Schizosaccharomyces pombe: one gene and its partners. The protein of the gene in region 1 binds, or shares a complex with, the protein of each later gene. Each region holds a gene or a part of one and is shown in the gene's direction. Other genes may lie near its edges. The genes, in order: mrp4, mrps18, mrp5 and snr1.

Region 1 (3,280 bases):
TTTACAGCTTCAAATTTAGATTGGGCGCTAGCATTGGCAACTTTTGTTTTTTTGTTTTCTTTAAGATTAGTGATCGATTCTACCATAAACTTTGTACGGACAGATATGGTTGATGGATCAGCTGAAGCTAATAACAAATTCATTTCCGTAACAATATCTTGGAGAGACGTCGGGTCATCTGATCGCAACTGCCCTCCACAATTGAGGACAATTTTGAGCAGCATTTCAACGTTCAATTCGGTTAAAGAGCGTAAAAAAAGGCGAATCAAATCATAAACAAGAACACATGAAACAAGTTGAAAATTATACAACTCAACAAAAAATACAATCAAGTTAGAAGTCTCCTTATGGGAAGAAAGAGGTTCTTTCTCTTTTGATTTATAAAGCTGCAAAAAACGTTCCACTAGGGTTTGCAATAGATGAGCACCAAAGTCATTGCCTACAATGCGGTAAAGAGCAGTGGCTAACGCAGCATATACTATGGCCAATTGATCTAGCATAGATTCTCTTCCCATTACGGTTTGTAGTAGCAAATTGGTGATGGTAGACGTGACTGAGTGTCTTGAATTTTCCATGTAAAGGACTTCAATCTCCTTAATAATTGAAGAAATATTTGCGATAGACAATTTGTTTAGCGATCCTTGTAATTTCCGACGAAGTCGCAGAGCATCTTCTGACTCCTTATCTCCCCCTAATTTTTTCCGTAAAGATGGAGGGACATACTTTGAGCCGACGTTCGCATTAGGTAAGGATGGGACTGCAGGCTTCAAAGGATCCATCCGAATCGGCTTAGTTTCAGGTTGATGGAATTCATCAGAATTAGACTCAAACCCATGAAACTCTTCCTCCTCCTCACCCGAATTTCCTTCCCTTTCACTTTCCAACTCATCAACGCTACCATGGTCACCTGTATCGTCTGAAACTTCAGAGTCTTCTGAATGACCATATGAAGGATCTTCAGTGCCCGGAACGCCTATGTCATCAATTTCTTGATCTAGGTCTTCTAAAAGCCATCCAAATTCCTTGTCAATTTTTGAGTGAGCAGATTTATCTTTGCTTTTGATGCCAAGCATCTTTTCTAAATGAGCGATTTCACGATCATCCTCTTCCAAAGCAATCTTATGCTGAAAAGCAATGGGATCGAGTAATTTACTCTCCTTTGCCTGTTTATTCTGTGAAGATTTTTTTTTTGTAGATGACTTTCTGTGAGCATCTAAGTAATCATCATTAAGTTCAGAAGACTTACTATCACCTTCTTCTGTAATCTTCCGGTTTTCATAACCATTTTTTCCTCGAGAGATCCTAGCAAATTTTCTTTTTTCACGATGAGGTAGATTATGATTTCGCTTTCCCCGCCTAGCACTCGAATCTATCAATTTGGTTAAATATACTGACCAAATCTATAAAAAAAAGCTTACCAGATTCTCCTATCTCTTCTAAAATACTTTTGGGCAGTTTTAAGCTTCTGCTTTTTTTAATTGGCCTCATACTATCGAATGTTTAAATATTAAACAAACGATAATTAATACTAAAGCTCAAGAACTACCAAATTTTTCAATTAAACGATACCAAAAACTGGTATAATTGCTTTACAAAGAGAAGAATTGGGCCTCAGTCTCGAGTTGGCGTATCGTTTCAAATGAATTTCACAACACTGCTAATGGAACTGTATACAATATCGCAATTTGTTAATGCTATTTAAAGTTGTCACTCTGCTGCTGTATTTTACATTAACGCTCTATGTAGTATCACACTAATAAAGCATATCGAAGTGGAAATGTTGCAATCGTGCAGCGATTTCAAAGTCTTAAAGTACTACTACACCAAACGGGCTTTCATTTTGCTCGAGTCATTCGTGTCTGTATTATGCTTTCACGGAAATTATCACCGGAGCAACTTGTAGCTCGTCGTTTAAAAATACGTGACTGGAATCACAAAATAGGTGCAGTTGTAGCTCCCCATTATTCACCGACATTATCCATTCGAAATCCGGCACCTCCTAGTCAACTTAGTCTTCCTTTATTGTTGTCTTCTGGTGCTCATTTAGGACACTCTACATCCATATGGAATCCTTACACGCAGCCCTTTATATATGGTAAAAGAGAAGGTATTCACATAATATCATTGGATCAAACCATGGTTTACCTACGAAGAGCTATATCCGTCGTTAGATCAATAGCTAAAGAAAATGGAATTATATTGTTCATTGGCACCAGAAACGGCCAGAAAGATTCTGTCGTTGCTGCTGCCAAACGTGCTAGAGGTTATCACATATTTGATCGTTGGCTACCAGGACTTCTCACCAATGCCAGAGAAGTACAAGGAAAGCTTGGCGGTTCAATTTTATGTAAAGATAATAGAGGGAAATTGATTCAAACTGATAAAAAACCAAGTTATGTCTTTCCTGATTTGATGGTTATACTAAACCCATTAGAAAACAAAAGTGCTTGTCTAGAGGCACAGAAAACTCATGTTCCAACAATTGGAATCATTGATACTGATGCGGATCCAAGGATGGTTACCTATCCTATTCCAGCAAATGATGATTCTTTACGGTGTACAGATTTAATAGCTGGTTTACTGAGTAGGGTAGCTGAGCAAGAGTACCAAAAAGCTAACCAAGCCTTCGAAAAAGATAAATTTACACTTCCTTTATGATTCCCCTCTCATTGTTTTGAAAATGCCTGTATTCTTTGATTTTTCTAAACATGATTAAAGATAAGGTCTGATTAATTTTCACTAGTATTCAATAAAATTAATGATTCGTAAACGAAAGGTTAAAAAGAAAGAATAAATTATTATGGATAACGTATATATCACATTTCAATGATTTGATGCCAAAATTTTTGTTAAAGACAGACATATTTTGCTGTGCGAAAGGAAATCATCGGTATGCTTTCACATTTTCTATAAACTCTTTTTTCAATTGTTGAATAGTCATCTTTCTAGTATCCCTTGAATTATGATTGTGTCTACTAGATACACTGAGAATTTCTTTGTCAACTTCGTCTTCTCCAATGACAATTTCATAATTATAATTTAAAAGTCTTGATTCACGTAGCCGTTTGCCAATAGATTGTGCTTCAGCGTTTATGTCCACATAATAGGTATTTTTATTGAGTGGGAGAAATTCAGATTCATTGACTTCCTGATTAGACAATTCCTTTTGTACTTGCTTAGCATAAGTTAGAATTCGATCTGTTTGATTGACTGGTAAAATGACAGCATGTCTAGGACTTAGCCAAAATGGCCAGTGTCCATTTAAATGCTCGATAAGGAT
Region 2 (3,334 bases), 1.9 Mb from region 1:
ATACCTAATATGAAAAAAAATAAAAAAAGTCCTTGAATCGTCTCGGAAAAGGAAAAAAATATGAAATATAAATTTCCTATTTGTATGTATGAATAAATAATTTCTAAACGTTAAATTGGAAAAGGTCGTTTCGTAAGGTCAGAAAGGTGAGGCTCTAATGATGAAATTGGATAGATGAAGCCTAAGAATATCATTTTCTAATTAACAGATTACTTTATTGAACCTGTTTTAATGGAATATTTTCATGCTGTGGGTGATTGGCATACCAATCAACCAAAAGCAGTGCCTTGAGAAAGTCCATGATTTTTAAAGAGAGTCCAAGAGCAAGAATGAGGTTACTTGCGTAATAAAAATTTGCATTTCCACATCCAAGAGTTATCCAAGAATGGTAAAATGCAGATCCCAGTACAAGCGCAAACACAATAGCATTATTTGTAAGCAAGCTATATCGCATTCGGTCTTGGACTTTATTAAAAATTGGGAGGAGAGATAAAAATATTGAAAGATCACAAATACTTGGGTAAGCTTTGAATAAAGAATGCAGGCCAATAAGAGCAATAGTAATAGGCAAGGGCAGATAATAAAGACGGATCGAAACAGGGAGAACAAACATCAATGGTAAAATGGCAAATACAAAAAGGAAGAATGTGCGAAATTCATTGAACATTTCTGTAAAAAAATACCACCAGAGACCCAAATTCGGAGTTAGATCATGAGAGTCCAAGTATACCCTAAATGGAATTTTCAAAAAAGATAACGAGTTCAGAAAGAAGCCTGAAGTTATTATCAGACCTGCAAGATAAAAAAGAAAAACAACGAATATCTGACGAAATTTAATGGATGAATTGCATTTTCTTAAAATAAGATAGGAGGGGAAAAATAACAGTAAAGCGTTAGGATTAATGAATACAGTCAATGCCATACAGCATGCATAAATTGCATAGGATCCGCAAGAGGCGAAATAAATGGTCATTAGAGTGGTGAAATTAAGTATCATGTCTGCGGAGCAAGCAATTCCTGGAAGAAATGTTAATGGGTTAAGCAGATAACTAAAGTAATATTTTGTTAGTAAATTTTGAGTTAAGGATACTTGTTTGCGACACAAATATATCACAGAAGTACACATTTTCAATATCGACTACGAAATCTGTGTAATCAACGCAGTTCAATCTTTGAACAGTCATCGTTAACAATTTTGTAAACCAACGATACAATGCTTTTCATTTTTTTGAAGAATGTCTCACTTTTTTTGTCGCAAGCCATATGCGTAACTTACATGACGGAAATCCATAATGGTGAACAAGTAGATAGTACTTGATTTGGGTCTAAAACACGAGCTTGTTTTGCAATTAAATACACAAAGAGACCTCCCATAGTAGAAATGCTAGTATAAACAAATCTGGTGACAGATATTCCTCCAAGCAACTCACAACAATAATTTAAGATCAGTAGAAGTGGAGACTGATAGAAAACACCACCAGAATAGGGGTCTAGTCCGTTTTCATACAAGTAAAGTCCTTCACGAACACGTAAAAATCCGGATACAGGCGTCGATACTTCGATTCGCCTGTAAAGGAATTCAGCAATCCAAGTGTTTGCTAAATACCATTGAAGAAAAAAAGAAATTGATAATAAACCTAATAGTTTTAGCTTCTCATTTGGTATCATTGCAAAATCTTCACTGTTCAAAAGATGGGTTATATTTGTGTTTTCAATTCACCAATCTTCGTTTAAATTACAGTCGTTGGGTATCCCAAATGATCCGTTTGAAAAACTTTTAAGGCAGCCACCAAAGTAAGATTTTTAATTTTTTATTTCTTTATTTTTTCTTTAAAACGAGAAGAGTGTTTTAGGTTAATATTTACACGTTCATACCACTACCACAGGTTGAGTAACATAAGTTACCTGGTATAGAAATTATGGTATTGAAGCACTCGGTTACTTACAATTTGTCATTTTTCATTTCCTTTACATTTTCATCCATATTTTTTAGTTCTTTGATTTTATTTTTGGTTTACAAATCGGTTCTTAGCAAGCTATTTTTCATCAAATATCTAATGCTTAATTTAACAAAAGTTGGACTACGAAGATTTTGGAGCCAGAGTCCTAGGCGGAATGCGCCCAAAAAGGAACTCTCTTCTCTTTTAGAATCCACAATCACTCCAAAAGCTTTTTCAAAAAGGACGGAGGAGCCAAATCCGATTATGCAAGGTACGGATACCATTCCAATGCCATTTTACCTTCATGCCAAATGTTTGAAGAACAACACTCACATTACACTTTGTTCTCCTGAAAGAAAAATTATTTTTAGGGCCTCTGGAGGAACCTGTGGTTTTCGTAAAGGAAAGCGCCGTGGCTACGATGCTGCTTATACCATTTGCTCCAAGGTGCTGGAACAAATCCAAGTAAAGCGCCTTGGTATTGAAAATTTGCATGTTATATTTCATGGTTTTAGTCAGGCCAGGGAAGCAGTACAAAATTGTTTATTAGGGCAAGAAGGTGCCGTAATTCGAGACAAAATTGTAAAGGTTATGGATCGAACACCTATTAAATTTGGAGGACCGAGAGGTAGAAGGGAGCGACGCATATGAAGTATGTTTATATTACTTTTCTGTTTTCTTCGTTTACGTAATCTTCCTGTGCAGTTAATCTGCTGCCCAACATTGTTGGTGCTTTTCCACCGTTGTATTTGACCTTCTGAACTTAGAAATGATTTATTAATACCGGTGTGATAGTGCAACATGATTTCTTAAAAAAAACTATATCCCATCTCTAATTCAACACAAATAGTTTTTACCTATCTTTCTCTGTAATTTATGAAATGCAAAAGACATTATTATTCCCATATTATTTACATTATAAATAATGACCGTCACTGATCAATAAGTAGACACTTCTATATCTAATTTTATCTGCCATACTTATTACATTACAACTGCTGACACCATATCAATTTCAGACAGTAAATATTCATAAAAATCGTCATCGACCCAATTTTCAGAGCCTACTGCTGATAATCGACTGGATGTGCGTTCTTTCACTTCTGAAGTGTAATTTAAATCTCCTTTTACGAACCAAGGCTCATACCATCTTCCCAAAACATCTGCGAATGGGCAGACGTACTCGACAGATTTATCATGCAGGCAACGAAAATATGTGTTTGATAGTTTTGATACCATTTGTAATCTTCTTGGTAATTCTTTTAAGTCATCCTTATGTTCATCAATATTGTCAGCGCTGTCATTATAATCGAGTGCATTTTTGTCAATTTGTGTCCATAGTGAGCCTTGGAAACAGACAATGTCATCTTCGTTTACATAAATATCAGATATGT
Region 3 (3,958 bases), 780 kb from region 1:
TATTAGAAGCATTTTGGTCATTCATATAATCATAGGAATTGTAGTAGTATTCTTCCCAAGACCCCATACCAGCAGAACGACGAGATCTTGAATAGGTAGGATACCTCGCTTGAGACCAATTTTGAGGCGAGGGATGTGTAGGATGAGACGGCTGATTCCAGTGAATTCCAAATCTATCGTATTCCTCACGACGTCTCTTATCAGATAGTAAAGCGTTGGCTGCCAGCAATAAACGAAAGTACTCTTCGTTGTGCTTATTAATTTCTGGCGGAGATTCCGTAGGCGCTAGCTGAGATGCATTCTTCATTTTGTCAGGATGATGCTTCTTAACCAGCTCAATATATTTTCGTTTAATGTCATTAGCCGTACACGTACGAGGTAGTTCCAAAATTTCATAAGGCGTCAATGACTTCAATTCGGAATAGGAAGTAAAACTGGCTGCTCGCCTCCATAAGCTATTTCGCACAAGATTTAACCGAAAAAATATCTTTGACATGTTCAAAACTTGTTCCAACAGAGGCGACGTTAGTTTCTGGATACGATGGAAGCTTTTATGTAGTTAATATTCAACTGAGTAAGATATCAATGTTGCTTCATTGAATGCAAACCGGCTGATCGAGCGCTGCTTTTTTTAAAGTAAAAACCGCAAGATACTCTGGTTCTATATAGTTTTAAAGCTGGATATGTAAAAGGAAGCTGGTTTGGTAAATATTTCAAGAGTTGGTACCATATCCGTCTGCTATCCCTATTTCGTGCCCTTGCTATACTACGTGGGCGAATCGCAGAGTTGTTGAGCTGCACCAACGAATGAGAAGGAAACGCAGGAAAATGTAAAGATTTAGAGTAATGGTATTTAGTAATAACAAACTTATTTTTATTTTAATATTCTTTTAAGAAAATACAAAATTTAATCGCAAACGAATTGAAATATTTTGGAAATTCTTTTTTATTGCCTTTCAAGGACGCCTTTCCTTCGTTAAAGACGCATCATTCTTTTATCGATAGATTTGAAAAAGAAGATCTTTAGTTTCAATCGTACAACACAATTCTTGCTACACGGTGTTTTTTGTTTGTTTGCATTTCGCGTTTCTTTGACCTACAACGTTGAATAGCGTCGCATTGGTGACTTACCTTGGAAATACGTTATTTATTTTCCGTTCGTAATTCTCAAAATTACAGGTTTGCCGTGGATTAAAAGATAATTTGGTCCACGCTTGCTCTTTAACTATCTTGATTGCCCTAATTGTTGTTTCTTTTAAAAAATTTCTAGAATCTTAAGTACTAAAAAAATTTGCCGAAGAGTAATTTTGAGGATAATATGGAAGTGACTATTATTTTGCTTTATTTAAAAGATTCTTTTTTTTCTCTTTTGCCTATCATGTATCCTTTTAATCATATAGTTAGGTTGAAATCAGTGATCTTTTCAATTCATTTCTTCCATGTACAATTTCAGCCGCCGCTTGTTTACAAATATAATGAGCTATTTCAAATTGTTCATTGCATCGCTAACTACGTATATTTGCTTGTAGTTCGTGCACCGTATTCATATTTATGAAGTCGAATGTACTACATTAAATGGGTGCCTTAGAAGCGTTCTTTGTAAACGGAGGATGATGAAAGGAAATCAAGAGAGAGAACTCAGAAAAAAAGGAGTTGTTAACCAGACGATAAATCAGAATTACAAGACGAGCTGATCCTAGAAAGTGATGTGCGGTTTTATGTACTTTGTCCATACCACTACTAAATAGGAACAGTAGCGAATCGTACCGAAGCGCCCTAACTACAACCAATGCCAAAGTGGTAAGTAGTTTCACGGCTGAGACAGTTATAAATTTATTTGTGCGATTCAAAAAGCATTTAAACTCATCGATAGCATTTTTTTTTGACTGAGTATCTCTTAGGGTTTTCCTCCCGTCTTTATAGCGTTAGTGACACCCTTGGTTGCAAAGTGCAATAAATATATAGGTGGTTCGGCTTTTATAAAGCGATTCCAGGAAATATTCTTACTTTCACTGCTAAGGTTCACTAAAAATTCATGATCATAACTTAAAAAATAATTTTTTTATTGATTTAATTACGATGTTACGCTCATTTTCACATTTTCTACAAATTGGCTCGAGGCGGCAGCCAACTTATTTTCGGTGTTTCCATAAAACTACCGTACATCTTAACTCTTTTAAGAATGATCCCAAAAAGGAATTAAATTCCAATTTAAACGAAAAATCCGTAGAGGAATCATCCAAGAATGAAACCAAGGAACAATTTAACTCATCGTCTATACCAAGAGAGAGTGAATCTGAAGGTAAAACTGCGTCAAATACTTCCCCATTATCACCAAAAAAGGTAGAAAATCTCAGCAAGCTTTTTAACGACATTAATGAAGATGTTTCTATCGAAGAGTTAAAGTCTCGTTTCAAAGATCACCTTCCTTTCTATGAAAACTACATTCGTAATCATCCTCTAGCCATTGAAGCACTCCAAAAGTCTACAGCACCACGTCAAACTGGTTTGAAATTGAACTATGTATCAAAATTGGATAAATATGTCACTCCTTTAGATGGATATTCTCATTTAGGATCGGAGGAGTCTAACGGGGAAATTCCTGATAAGTGGGAGGATTTTAAAGATGACCTCACGTTTGAAATTTCTTCAAAGTTTTCCCCATTTGATTTTGGCGATGCTGGTAAGAGCACAAGTGACGCTGAGTTTCTCTCGGATATTAGTGGAATCCCAAAGTCAGATCTCAGAGCCTTAATGTTCGTTCCCCTTGTAAGAAGACGTGTTGTTAATCAAACCCGTAAGGGAAAAATTGCCAGTATGTACGTACTGACTGTTGTCGGTAATCGAAATGGTGTTGCTGGTTTTGGTGAGGGAAAAGCCGAAAGCTATTCATTAGCATACAAACAATCATGTGGACGTGCTGTTAAAAATATGGTTTACATACCTCGCTACGATAAAAGGACTGTATATGGCGTTATTCATAAAAAATTTCATGCTGTCCGGTTAACATTACGATCTCGTCCAGCCGGTATGTTGTTCATTTGTTCTATAAATAATCTTTTAAAAGCTTAGACAGTTCTGTTTTCTGTTTATCGATTAGTTTTATTCGACATGTTTACTTGTCCTGCAATGACAATTTTACTAACTAAATATAGGTTTTGGACTTCGATGCAACCCCATCCTTCATGAGATCTGTAGATGCGCAGGTATAAAGGATATTAGTGGTGAGATACTTGGTTCTAAGAATGGAATGAATACTGTAAAGGCGATGTTTGAGGCTTTACAAAGTCAACGTCTCCCTGAGGATATTGCCATGGAGCGCGGCCAAAAGTTTGTTGATGTACAACGCGAGTATTACAAACAAACATGATAAAGTGACTTTTATTTTTTGTATAGATAAATATTCAATGCAGTCAGTACTCTAATTCTTTACTTCTGGAAACCATTGTGCAGCTTTGTTGTGCAAGATATTCATCTACATCCAATTTGTATCATTATTTCTTTAAACATCGTACATCATTAAAGTCTGAATAAGCTCGTTAATTATAACGTACTACAAAACTCCTATCACTCAACCCTACCCTAGCTAAGAAGTACAGTCACAGGCCTTCGAAACGGAAATTATCTTAGACAAAATTAACGACACCACCAACACTTTGCAGGATGGGACGTGATATATACAAGGACGAGACTTTGACAATCCCCAAGGGTGTTACTGTTGACATTAAGGCACGTAATGTTACAGTTACCGGTCCTCGTGGTACTCTCAAGCAAAACTTGCGCCATGTTGATATTGAAATGAAGAAGCAAGGCAATACTATTAAGTTCATTGTCTGGCACGGATCTCGCAAACATAATGCTTGCATCCGTTCCGTCTATTCTATCATTAACAACATGATTATCGGTGTCACCCAAGGTTTCCGCTACAAAATGCGTCTTGTCTATGCACATTTCCCCA
Region 4 (4,005 bases), on another chromosome or scaffold:
TCCGTAATTTCGACTATCAAGTGAGTGAGCAATGTTATCTCCTGCAAGCCAAACATGACCTAAAGGTATAGTTATTTTTTTATTTGAAGAGGTGGGATCGACATAAATTGTATCTCCTGGCTATAAAATTAGTACAAAAAGGATAACGTTCCATGTGAAATACTCACCATTCCAATGATTCGTTTGCACACGTGTTGCTTTGAATCGGAAGGTTTTGCCGAAACAACAACATCTCCTACAGAACATGAACGAGCAAACCTACCATGCAATTTATCTAACAAAACGAATTCACCACTTTTTAAGTTAGAACCATAAATACAAAGCGTTATTTCAATACCCAGAATTTAATGTTGGCATCATACTTGGACCCGATGTCATTTGCACTTGAAAAAGATACTCATGAATTTGATGCACAAATGCAGCAATCTGAACGACGGCAATAGGAATACGGAACATGCCAGCCATTGTTAACCAAGAGGTAACTAATCAAGACAGTAAACTAAATAAGCCGAAATTAAAAAATTTAAACACGACAAGAGAAAGGATTGAAAAAAGAATTAATGATTGTGGATTATAATGTTTCCGTAACTACCAAAATCGGAAAATGTAGATTCATGAAATTCAAAAACAATTGAAAGATATGCGTTTATTTCATATCATAGAGATAAAGACGGTTCAGGTTTTGATTTCGTAAAAGAACTACTATTTGCATCAACATAAGCAGTCAGGGAAGCAGGTTGATCCATATCACTTAGTGTATTTCGTTGAGCAAACTTCTCTACAATTAACGACATGGCTTCAGAATCAATAAATAGTTTACCGAATTTTAGTGCATCTCGAACCTGAAACTCACCAACAGGAATAAAGGAGCAATGGTAGCCTAACTGTCTAGATGCAAGCAATAAATTATTATTTTTAAGGGACTCATCTTCAAAGTAATTATCGTTAAGGACAAAAAGTGCCTTCCCGTACTCGTGTCCTAACTTGTGTTGCTTCAAAACTTCAAGCAAAATCCGTGTTTTTGGTTGACTTAAGTTGATGGGATTTTCAAGGATGGTCAGTTCATTATTAATAAATCTTGTACTTAGCGCAATCCTCATTGCTAAATTATAAACTTGGGTTTGTAATTTTGTACTGAAATCTCTAGGCTTAGGACCATGTGATTTAGCACCACCTCTTCTTATAGGACTTGAGGCATCGCCTACCCGTGCATGTCCTGTACCTTTTTGTCGATAAAGTTTTCGACCGGAACAAGTAATTTCATTTCGGCGCTTTGAGCTAGCAGTGCCTTGACGGTCATTATCTGCTTCATAAATAACGGCACGATGCAAAATATCTCGACGAAATCTTTCTTGCAGGAAACTTCCGGGAATAAGAAAAAGACTCGCGGGCTCCAACGACGGAAATTTATATCGCACCAAGTGCAACATTTTTGCTGTCATTCTGATTAGTTTGTGAAATGGACGACTAGTACCTGAAGAATGGATGTATTTTACTTTCAATTAGTCTAACACAATGTACTAAGTATCACAATGCATTTCATTATAACATATTGTGCATTCAAAAGTATCGTAAAGCGTAAAGTATCGAGTTCATTAAATTACGTTGTTTTATGCAACAGGAACTTTATGACTGTATACTGTTAGATAAATTAATGATATCTCATTCATTACCTAAAATAGAAGAAATAATTATTTATACTATGTGATGTCGTACATTAAATATTTGGAATTTGCTCATTCTGACACCTTAAATTGTTGTTGCAAATAGCACCTGTGTATTACAATAACAGTTTTGAGTACTCAATGCTATGCAACAAGTGGTTTAAGACTTTTAAAATCGACAAACCCTGAGAAACTAAATTAATACTAAATATAGATTTTTTGAGACAAGTATTTGCCCAGCTAATGCATGGAAACCTACTTTGTTTTACGAATGGTCTTTTGTGATTTGTTATTAGTTCACAATTAAGAACACACTTCGTTATAAAGTAACGTAGAAGAGACGTTAACCGTCTATGCAAAAATAATCGGTGTTATTTAACTTGGTTAGCTTTCATGGGATTGAAATTAAATATCTCTAACGATTTGAAAAAATCTGGATTTATGTTAAGGCAATCCTTACTTAAAACAAGTGTGTCAAATTTCCTTTCTTTGAATGCAAGTAGCACCATGTCTAGAGCGTTTATTCGAAATCCAAAATTTTATAGCACTTCCTCAAATGATACAGTTTTATACGAGAGTAAAAATGGAGCAAGGATATTTACTTTAAACAGGCCAAAAGTATTGAACGCTATCAACGTTGACATGATAGATTCAATCCTACCAAAGCTAGTTTCATTAGAAGAATCAAATCTGGCCAAGGTAATTATTCTTAAAGGAAATGGTCGCTCTTTTAGTTCGGGAGGTGACATTAAAGCTGCAGCACTTTCAATACAAGATGGAAAATTACCTGAAGTTCGCCATGCATTTGCTCAAGAGTATCGATTAAGCCATACGTTAGCTACATACCAGAAACCAGTTGTGGCTTTGATGAATGGCATCACCATGGGAGGTGGATCTGGTTTGGCTATGCATGTTCCTTTCCGTATTGCGTGTGAAGATACGATGTTTGCTATGCCAGAAACCGGAATTGGCTATTTTACTGACGTGGCTGCCAGTTTCTTCTTCAGTAGACTACCAGGATACTTTGGAACTTATCTGGGATTGACATCTCAAATCGTAAAAGGATATGATTGCCTGCGTACTGGAATTGCAACTCATTTCGTTCCGAAGCATATGTTTCCTCATTTGGAGGACAGGCTTGCAGAGTTAAACACGTCTGATATTTCTAAAATCAATAATACAATCCTGGAATTTGCCGAATTTGCTAGCAGTTCACCACCCACTTTTACTCCAGACGTTATGGATGTCATTAATAAATGCTTCTGCAAAAATGATACCGTTGATATTATTCGTGCGTTAAAAGAATATGCTTCAAACACTAGTGCTTTAGCGGAATTTGCAAAATCTACCGTTAAAACATTGTATAGCAAATCTCCGACTTCAATTGCTGTTACCAATCGACTTATTAAGTCTGCTGCTAAGTGGAGTATATCTGAAGCATTTTACTATGATCATATCGTTTCCTATTATATGCTTAAACAGCCTGATTTTGTTGAAGGTGTTAATGCTCAACTTATTACAAAGACCAAAAATCCAAAATGGAGCAAATCCCATGAATATCACTTTAAAGATTTAGAAAACTATTTCAAGTTGCCTTCAGAATACAATAATGGGATATCTTTTGCTGCAAAAGGAAGACGTAAAACTCCCCTTTGGAATTATAAGACTTATCCTTATTTATAATCCCAAAGGTTACATAAATTAAATATTGTTCTTTATGTCTACTAAGTTTTTTCAGTATTATAATAAGATGATTTATTTCAAAGACCCTGTTATGTTTTAGCATGCGATAAAGCACATAACTCTTTTTAGCAGCTAAAAATAATGATAGCCATTTTAAATACTCATACTAAAACTCTTTTTCGGTAGCTGTGCGTACGATAGTTCAAAAAAAAGAATGCTAACGGCATTAATATATATTCCATAATTCCCATATTGGATCAAACAATGAGAAAATAATTGACAAAACTGCCAAACGCATACCCAAAATATATTTTTATTATTCCAATTGCTCACGGCCTTACCATAAGCTTTTCTAGCAAAAAAAATTATATGATAAACTAAAAAAGCATGCACTTATGGCATATATTTCTGTTTACTGATGTCTCAAGTATTTTCCTACGATGATACAGTGATCACGTTCGTAAGGCTCTAAAGTAAGTTGTTCTTGAGGTTTAATCTTTTCCTCTTGCATTTTCTTAACCTCACGAGCAAAAACAACAGCTGCATCAGCGGTAGAATCAATACAAGAAGCCTTAACAGAGATAACAACTCCACCTTCGTTTTTCAAAAAGGCGGCGGCGTTCAAAGCAACGATACGAGCCTGATCGGGTTGAGCAAC

Evidence for each region.
Region 2: mrp4 (region 1) and mrps18 share a complex: the UniProt entries of both Schizosaccharomyces pombe proteins name them as parts of the mitochondrial small ribosomal subunit.
Region 3: mrp4 (region 1) and mrp5 share a complex: the UniProt entries of both Schizosaccharomyces pombe proteins name them as parts of the mitochondrial small ribosomal subunit.
Region 4: mrp4 (region 1) and snr1 share a complex: the UniProt entries of both Schizosaccharomyces pombe proteins name them as parts of the mitochondrial small ribosomal subunit.

The regions. Positions count from the first base shown.
Region 1 is NC_003424.3:3,064,796-3,068,075, reverse strand, and holds mrp4 (mitochondrial 37S ribosomal protein uS2m), read left to right. Parts: upstream 1-1,809; 5' UTR 1,810-1,866; coding exon 1,867-2,658; 3' UTR 2,659-2,750; downstream 2,751-3,280. Other genes in the region: sgd1 (ribosome small subunit biogenesis protein), read right to left, coding at 1-1,369, 1,419-1,488; SPOM_SPAC24C9.09 (threonine--tRNA (Thr) ligase), read right to left, coding at 2,885-3,280. UniProt on the Schizosaccharomyces pombe protein: Component of the mitochondrial ribosome (mitoribosome), a dedicated translation machinery responsible for the synthesis of mitochondrial genome-encoded proteins, including at least some of the essential transmembrane subunits of the mitochondrial respiratory chain.
Region 2 is NC_003424.3:4,966,480-4,969,813, reverse strand, and holds mrps18 (putative mitochondrial ribosomal protein subunit S18), read left to right. Parts: upstream 1-1,951; 5' UTR 1,952-2,057; coding exon 2,058-2,591; 3' UTR 2,592-2,824; downstream 2,825-3,334. Other genes in the region: gab1 (Pig-U family GPI transamidase subunit), read right to left, coding at 215-1,049, 1,277-1,668; SHREC complex subunit Clr2, read right to left, coding at 2,925-3,334. UniProt on the Schizosaccharomyces pombe protein: Component of the mitochondrial ribosome (mitoribosome), a dedicated translation machinery responsible for the synthesis of mitochondrial genome-encoded proteins, including at least some of the essential transmembrane subunits of the mitochondrial respiratory chain.
Region 3 is NC_003424.3:2,283,915-2,287,872, reverse strand, and holds mrp5 (mitochondrial 37S ribosomal protein uS5m), read left to right. Parts: upstream 1-1,859; 5' UTR 1,860-2,079; coding exon 2,080-3,028; intron 3,029-3,155; coding exon 3,156-3,370; 3' UTR 3,371-3,391; downstream 3,392-3,958. Other genes in the region: SPOM_SPAC4G9.19 (DNAJB family protein), read right to left, coding at 1-496; rpl901 (60S ribosomal protein L9), read left to right, coding at 3,664-3,958. UniProt on the Schizosaccharomyces pombe protein: Component of the mitochondrial ribosome (mitoribosome), a dedicated translation machinery responsible for the synthesis of mitochondrial genome-encoded proteins, including at least some of the essential transmembrane subunits of the mitochondrial respiratory chain.
Region 4 is NC_003423.3:2,979,005-2,983,009, forward strand, and holds snr1 (mitochondrial 37S ribosomal protein mS47 ), read left to right. Parts: upstream 1-1,997; 5' UTR 1,998-2,057; coding exon 2,058-3,347; 3' UTR 3,348-3,436; downstream 3,437-4,005. Other genes in the region: mmp1 (endopeptidase catalytic subunit), read right to left, coding at 1-120, 168-294, 338-465; yml6 (mitochondrial 54S ribosomal protein uL4m), read right to left, coding at 657-1,442; fib1 (fibrillarin, rRNA and histone methyltransferase), read right to left, coding at 3,760-4,005. UniProt on the Schizosaccharomyces pombe protein: Component of the mitochondrial ribosome (mitoribosome), a dedicated translation machinery responsible for the synthesis of mitochondrial genome-encoded proteins, including at least some of the essential transmembrane subunits of the mitochondrial respiratory chain.